2 linked regions of the Xenopus tropicalis genome follow. The protein of the gene in region 1 interacts with the protein of each later gene in a pairwise test. Links are inferred from orthologs where the notes say so. Each region holds a gene or a part of one and is shown on either strand. Other genes may lie near its edges.

What was found. The genes of interacting proteins can lie anywhere in the genome.
Region 2: the proteins of bag4 (region 1) and unkl interact in binary tests that used the Homo sapiens proteins (3 or more experiments, as listed by UniProt). The link is inferred for Xenopus tropicalis from reciprocal best matches to the Homo sapiens genes BAG4 and UNKL.

The regions. Positions count from the first base shown.
Region 1 is NC_030679.2:132,219,567-132,223,533, reverse strand, and holds the start of bag4 (BAG family molecular chaperone regulator 4), read right to left. Parts: upstream 2,801-3,967; 5' UTR 2,495-2,800; coding exon 2,315-2,494; intron 1-2,314. Other genes in the region: U6 snRNA-associated Sm-like protein LSm1, read left to right, coding at 3,106-3,151. UniProt on the Homo sapiens protein: Inhibits the chaperone activity of HSP70/HSC70 by promoting substrate release. Prevents constitutive TNFRSF1A signaling. Negative regulator of PRKN translocation to damaged mitochondria.
Region 2 is NC_030685.2:28,323,081-28,327,299, forward strand, and holds the start of unkl (putative E3 ubiquitin-protein ligase UNKL), read right to left. Parts: upstream 2,863-4,219; 5' UTR 2,706-2,862; coding exon 2,641-2,705; intron 1-2,640. UniProt on the Homo sapiens protein: May participate in a protein complex showing an E3 ligase activity regulated by RAC1. Ubiquitination is directed towards itself and possibly other substrates, such as SMARCD2/BAF60b. Intrinsic E3 ligase activity has not been proven.

The DNA.
Region 1 (3,967 bases):
TTTTTACTAGCTTAATGTGTGTGATCTGAGCCAATCAGCAGGAAGCTTACTCATAGTCTTACTAACTGCACATGTACACTGGTCTTGGTACAGGAGTGAGGCATTATGGGAACTTTCTTTACACAGCTCAGCGGTTTTTTTTCTATGAGGCTTCTGATCATCTGAATGGGAGAAATATGGGGAGACTTAAGGGCACTATTGAGAGAACTGAAGGTATGCCTGCAGCTTGAGATTAACTCTTTATTAGCCTTTCCTTCTCCTTTAAAGGAAAAGCAAAGGTACCCCCCACCAAGTGATTTTAACTTTCCTTCTCCTTTAACCCTGTCCCTGCACCATATTTCCCAAAGGGTTTAGGAATAGTCCTGTAGATGGTGATCGCAAACTAATCTAGTTGTAGCAAACTAATCTGATGGATTTCTCTGAGGAGGGAAAGAGTAAGCTGGATCAAGGAAGTCAGTGGGATATATTTAGAATTCTGCATTAGAATTTGAGGCAGCTTAGCAACATCACGACACTCACTGCCAACCATGGAGAAGATAAAGTGGTTAAATCAAAAAGTATCACAACGATCAGTACTGGGACCCACATTGTTTTTCAGTTTCTATTATTGTTATGGCTATGTTTTCCTGAGCCAAAATATAGGGGGCAAGGGGGTGCTGAGGAACAAGAATTGAACAGAAAAAACCTGATAAGCGCTAGAATGCCAAGAAGATAATGTATCTGTGTTTGCTTTGGAGATCAGTGAGGTTATTAGAACCCAGCATGGAAAGGGGTTCAGCACAGAAAGATCTGACTATAAAAGGCAATTGCTCAGGAAATGGCAGTCAGCTCACTGGGATTTACCAATTTGGAATGGAAAAGGAATGTATTGATTACAAGTCTGCCAAATATACACAGGGCTAGAAAGCTGCAGCACAGGATAATTATAAAGCAGTTAGATTCTAGGTTAGGTTTTATAGATGTATTGGCCGTAGGCACTTCTTAGGCCTCATTATGAAAGTGCTGAAAAGAATGTGGCCAGTCCTTACTGCACACGTTATAGGAGTTAATTTTGGAATAATTCAAATCAGGAATCTGTCCGCGTTATGGAGATGTTATCTGTATGAGTGTAACCATATTAAACGAATCTAATGCAAGCATTCTGTTTGGCAGCTCTGGAAATGGATTATGTGTGTAAATGCTGCTAGTACTTCATGTTGTTATACAGTAGCAATAAACTAGAAAGAATTTCTCATTAAAATACTCCCTCATAAAGCCTCCAATGTGATGGCTTGTCCCCCACCTACTGGCGGCCACCCTTAAAGCTCCATAGTGCTCTACCTAGCCCAACGGGTCTGATCATTTTTTTTAAAAAAATAGTATGGGTGCCATTGTTTGGGCATAACATATACTACCTTCTGGAGCACTAAAACATTATCTTGCCCAGTCCTGCGCTTAAGGGCAAATGCCCATACCTGGTGCACTCTTACCTTCCAATTTGTGCCTGTATGTTACCCAACCACTTAGATTGTAAGCTTTACGGGGCAGGGACCTCCTTCCTACTGTGTCTCATTCCACATGGCACTTACTCCCTGTGTATTTATACTTATTTACTGTATTTTTTATAACACTTGTCCTCCCTGTGTGTAATTTGGTATATTGTAAGATTGTACAGTGCTGCGTACCCTTGTGGCGCTTATACATACATACATATAAACATTTTGGAAAGACATCCCGCCACCTTAGTCAAGATTCCTGATGTTACCATATTAAGGGATGGCAGCATTACATTTTGCCATAGAAGAGCGCCCCCTTATGGCATAAGTTTAGGTTGTGGTTTCCCAAGTGTCATTGTACTCCAGCCCCATAAAGTTGCCTTATGGCAAGCAAAACAAAGGTCCCTCTGTATCAATTCATATTTGTGTGTGATCTGTATGTTTTATGTATATGAAAAGCTGCAAAATATGTTGTTGGTTTGTAAATACGTGTTAATATTAGTCAATTAAAACTGGCTTATAGTGGGCTTTACTTGACCTTTAAATGTTCAATTTCACTATATAGGAAATGAATGGCCAGTGTTTATGGAGGAGTAGCACAAAGGCGCCTCTAGAGGCTCTGTATATATATATATATATATATATATATACACACACGTATGTATTAGGTACCGGATATCCATGTATACAGGTAATGAATGGACACGTTTGGTATCCAACCCGCCCCCTGCCCAGATCCCCTCAGGAAAAGGTGCTGTAGTTTGGATGGATGGAAACAAGAAAGACACCCATGACACTTTACCTGATGACTTTGCGTCCTGACTTCTGCAATTACTCACCTGAGTTCCAGGAGCTCCTCCCCCTGTCCCTCCTCCGGCCCAGCTTCTCTCCGCCTCCTGTGGGTAATAGCCAGTTCTCCACTCTGCCTCACCTTCCCCCCGCTGTCTTGCCAGCACATCCGCTCCTGCACCCCCATAGTATCCCCCACCTCCCTCCACAGGCCTGTGCGCGGCAGACATGGACCCTCCAATTCAGGGAGCTAGAGAGTAAGCGAGTGTCAACTGAGCCGACGCAGAGCGACCAGTGAGAGCCTGGCACCTCGCCTACAGCCAATCAATACGAAGCTAGACAACAAACAGCCAATGGAGCGCAAGTGCGCTGATTCAGAAACGCCTCTATCTCTAGCTAGCGGCCAATAAAAAGTGAGAGGGAACTGATTGTCATCGGGGTCAGGGTAACTGCGCACGAACAGCACGTCATGTAAAAGTCACTTCATCCAATGGGAAAGTGAAAGGCATCGAATGCGTGAATGCGACCAATCGTTGTTGAGCAAAGTCGGCGAAATAATTGGGTTCAGATTTCTAATTGGCCGGTAACCATTTTAACCACGCCCACACTAGTTCAACCACCAATAGGACGAAATTGGAAGCCCAGCAAAAAATGTCGGGGAGGCGCAGAAGTCATCAGCCGGGCGCTTGAATATGGCGTCACGTACATATTCACCGCCCATAAGACGAGCCTTCGTCCCGCCGGAAGTGCCATTTTTTTAATAGGATGGCGGTGCTTTTGGAGGCCAGTTTTGTGTGTTGTCCGGTTTGAGGTAGTGGCCCGTGGAGGGTCGGGAAAGAGGATGAATTATATGCCCGGGACCGCCAGCCTCATAGAGGATATAGACAGTCAGTATTTGATTATATATGTCCCTGACTCCCAACAAGTGAGCTGGTTAAACGCAAGTCTGCAGCCTAGGCGCCATAGAAGGCATGGGCGATACACTCGTAGCTTAACATGTACCTTCCACCCCTACCATTGTGCGGTGCTGGGAGTTGTAGTTTAATACCTACACACATACTCACTACACTTGTAACTATGGGCAGAGTGAAGCATGGCAACAGATTCGCCGTTTGGCTTATGTGAATTGCTAAAGTAGTTTCTATTGAGCCACTTTCATATCTATTATCTCGTCTGTCATTCAAACCTGGTCTGTTCCCTAGCAACTAGCCAAATGGGCAACTGCAGTAGCCTTAGAAACACACTTAGCAAAGGGGAACTACATTGAAAAACTTAGTATATTGGAAAGTTGCATAGAAATAGTTACATGTTTTAAGTTATTTGCAAATGTAATGGCAGATGTATTTGTTGATCCCCCTTCTGTTCCCTGGGTCTGACTTTTGAAATACTGTAGCGGAAGTCGGCGGAAAGTAGCTGTCTGCTACTTTGTTACAGTAGTCTGAATCAGCAGTACAGGAAGGGACACCTGTTACATCCTTTTAATGTCAAATACCCCTAATCTTCAAGAAGAAGGAAAGGTTTATTGCCAATTCTTTGCTCAATGATTATAATCACTAAGCTTAGACCCTGGCTTGCACTCCTCACTGAAAACCTTTTTGGCCTGGCGTCCCCTATAATCGTATCCCAAGCTGGGGTGATTTTCAGCAAATTGCTGGGCATAAGGGGTTACAGAAGTGTAAAAAAGCCTTTCCTTCTCCTTTAGA
Region 2 (4,219 bases), on another chromosome or scaffold:
GACAAACATGCCATACTGTATGTTGAGTTTTCAAATCCACACACAAAGCTGTTTTTAATTATTCCAGGTCCAGGCATACATAAGATGTCAATTGCATGATAAAAAAAAATGTCTGTATATGGTTTCAACAAAAAGTTTGATGACTTTCCTAGAGTGATTAAGAAGCAGCAATTTCAGCTTTAGTATTAATGGAGAAGGTAAGTCATTTTGCTGCCAATAGATTTTCGATGTTAGTGCCACCTAGAACTCCATATTTATTCTGCAGAAAGCATTACCATACCTAAATAAAGAGCACTAGGGCCTTTCTCTTGTTGCAGCTGCCACTATAGCTTGGTGTTCATAGCTTCCTGTTTCCAGTCTAGCCCTAATAGCTAGGGTTGGGGGGAGTGAGTTTTATGAATTCTTGAGGGAAAGGGAGAGGAAGCAGGAGTGGGGAGAGCGGAGTAAACTGAGCAGACTCTGGCACTAGGAATGAAGGATTTTTCTGAGAGAGGAAATCAAATACCCCAAGAACATGTTTACAAAAAAAGGAGAAAAGAAATGCTGTGTTTCTTTTGACAGAGGGTGTTTCTGTGAGTGCTTATATTTACATAGACCTTTTTGATAAAGCTTACTTAGTTTTTACCTTCCCTTCTCCTTTAATGGGGCAGATCAAATTTAAATGAATTTTTAGTATGATGTAGACAGGGATATTGTGAAACAATAAGTAGTTGGTCTTCATTTTGATTTTTTAGAGATTTCATTTCACTATTTAGTAGCTCATGTTTGCAACTTCAGAGTTTTCCCTAGCAACCAGGCAATCTCTAAAATGAGGGACTAGGTCAAAAAGAAAGAAAAGTAAGAAGTAACAACTGCAGCCTCACATTGTCGGAGTCAGTGGCTCATTTGTACAACGAAAAGGGCACAACAACATTGACCATTATTAATATATATATATCAAAAATATATGAAAAATAGAGACCAACTGACAATTTGCTAGGAATAGGACATTACTGAATAAAAAGTAACAAAGCTGGACTAACCTTTTAAGGATTGTAATTCATATTTTGGAATCTGTTAAATGTTTTAACCCCCATGAGGTTTAAGAAATCATTAGAGGGTTTGAGTTTTTATTTCAATAAATTTTTATTTGGAATCAGAAACAAGTAAACAGACTGTGATTCATTAATCAGCAGAAATGGGAGTTTACAGACAGATCTTAAACCTGGCTGCAAACTTCTATTTCAGGAAAATAAAACTAAAAAAAACTCACTAGAGAGGCCCCCTGATAGGGAACACTTCGAAGACCCGTTTGGTACCTAGACAGACTAATATTTGCTTACCTAATAAGTCATAATTATCACTATTTACCAAGATGTCAGATTATAAATGGGCCAATAAACTGGATCGCACATGGACACGGTCAGCTGCCTACTGTTGTGTTTGTTTAGGCCAGCAGCCTGAACATTCAGAACTATGATGCAACTTACACTGGCCACCATGTTGATCGGGAAGATGTAATGTTAAAACATTTCCAAATCATCTGCAATTCATCAGGAAGACATTAAAAACCCCAAATCTGGCATACAAGTCCAGATGACTGAAACCAGCCAAGCTGTCTGACATCCCTGGGCAAGTAAGGGCAACTAGGGTTCAGATCAAGATATGAATTAAAAGGGACTGTATTTATCTCTCTCCCCCAAAATATTAGGTAAATCTGTTTAGACTAATGTTGACAGGAGACTAAATTAGTTTAACTGAGTTACTTGAACACAGGACGTAGCCATATACATCCAATATAAACGGGAAAGTAAACATTGTAGTAAAGTTCCAAAACACTTTTATTATTTATTAAAGACACAAGTAAGAGTATAGTGAAGATCCACTAGATCCCTGGCTTGGAGTTGCACTGAGGTGTGCAGGCACCACTTTCCCATGTGTTTCCTTCTCCCCAGCTCCAATAGCGCAAGCTAGACTGTAAATATAGGACTACTCACTGGCGCTACACAACCAGTAAGCCTGAAAGTGAACGTAACCAGATGGTGACAGCAGCTATTTGCTGTTTGTTACTGCTTACATTGCAAAAAGAAAAAAACACACACACACAATGCCTGCGCTTCGCCCTGCGCCACCGAACTAAAACTCTCTCCTGAAAACAAGGGAATTCTGGAAGTTGGAGTTCGATCGCTGGAATCAATACACCCGCTGCCAATGGTCCGCGATAACCCAGCAACAAGTGGCTGCCATGCAGATGCTGAGTGTGATAGGAACAAGGAGGGAAAATGGCTTTTATTTAAAGGAGGAAAGTGGTCAGGGACGAGCAGGCGCCGCTTTCACGGCTATTCACAAAACCGCTTTACTCCAGCTGCAGCGCGACTTCTCAAGCATCGCTCGGCGCACTACGTAAGTGGCGTAAGAGCCGCGCTTCTTGCAAGCGAGGGAGACCGAGCGGAATGGAGGAGAGCCCTGGCTGAGCGCTCGATACTTTCCTAAACGACAATATCGCGACCCCCTGCAGTAGGGGGCCTCACGGGCATAATTTGTCGGTTGCATGAAGCGCTGCCGTCGAATCAGCTATTGCTAAGACGCGCCTCCGACACAATGCAACCTGATTGCAGGGCAGCTCAGTGTCCGGAGGAGTGCGCTGCTTGCAGCACTTACGTGTAATGAGTCGGTTTCTCGGTCTGCGGGGAGCCGTTCAGCGCCGTTTTCGAAACCGACGGCATTTTCAGTCAAAACAAAGCTATGCGCATGCGCGGGAATCCTGGAGCCTGTGACTTGTCACTCCTCCCAAGACTGACAACACCCCCAGCACCGCTCCTCCCCAAACTGAGCTCATCCTTCCATACGCAACACATTCCCCGTGTTGACCGTTTCCATTCCATACTGACACTCCCCCTTACAGCTACGCCCTCCAGCTAAATACACAAATACGCAACTCTCCCTCTTCCATTCTGACACGCCCCTGCAGCCACGCCTCCTCACTCTGACAAGCAACATAACAAATCCCCATCAGCCCCAACTCTAGGGTAACACCTCCCACTGCAAGCCACGCCCCTGACAATGACAACATTGCCTCCTACAAACACACTTTCCCCACCATCCTCTCCCAATCCGTCTTGTAGCCACACCTCCCTCTCCTCCAACCACACTCCTTTAAAACGACAACATTACCCTCTGCCTCGCAGCATGAACCCTCCTTAGTTAATTGCTCCCCACGCAGGCCCATTTGCGGTCACGTTCTTTGCAAGAGTTGTTTTGAAAAAGACCTTCCCGACATTGGCAACGCACCTCCCATTCTTCTTCCCACACATAGCAGCCTTCTTATTCCTCCGCCCATTTAGAACTTTTATTATATTCCTTTTATTGGCGGCACATTTCATAGACCTACAAGCACAAAAAAACGCACGGCAGTTCCCTCTGTTGGCACCGCCCCTTCTCTGCAGTGCCTTTTCACAAATACCAACTTCCTCACACACAATATTCACATGCATTTTATATTATGAAGACGGCATTGCCCTTCCTTTATCTTCCTTTGTACTGCCCCAGTTTAGTCCGTAAATACATCTATTCCTCCTCCCATTAACAAGAGGCTCCTCCCATTGGTCCTTCTCACAACACAGCCGCTTCCATTTTTACGCTACTGTTGCATTGCTCTTTCCCTCTGACAATATGACACCGCAGTTGCATTGTTCCCTTGTTTTACCAATATCGCACTACCGTTGCATCGTTCCATAAAGGAATTGTTTCCTTACTCTGACAATGCAACTTTCATTCCATTTTACACAGAGAACACACCTTCCGTTCTACTTCACCCTTTTACTGGTTACTATGGCATCTTCTCTAATAAATATCTGGACAAAACACATTTTAGCAAATATCAGAATTAACTCCCATTTTGCACTCTGGGAGGTTGGGTCTGCGCCCACTTCTGCTTCGGTATTATGGTTATTAAAATAAGAAATGTGGTTCAAAGTTAACGGGTACAGCTTTTTGCTGGTCTTGTATGCAAACAGCACACTCCCACTGCACGCATGCACAAAATTTTACAGTCACATATGGCAGTAATTCTGATTGCTCTGTATGGGAGATACATTCCAAAATTTTGCCACCCCCAAATTTGTGCCGCCCTAGGCCCGGGCCTTTGTGGCCTCTCACAAATCCGGGCATGATTGCTGTTAGTTTGCTTGGTGGCCTCCATGCAGCAGGGCAATTTAGTATGTGGTTCATAGTGACATTT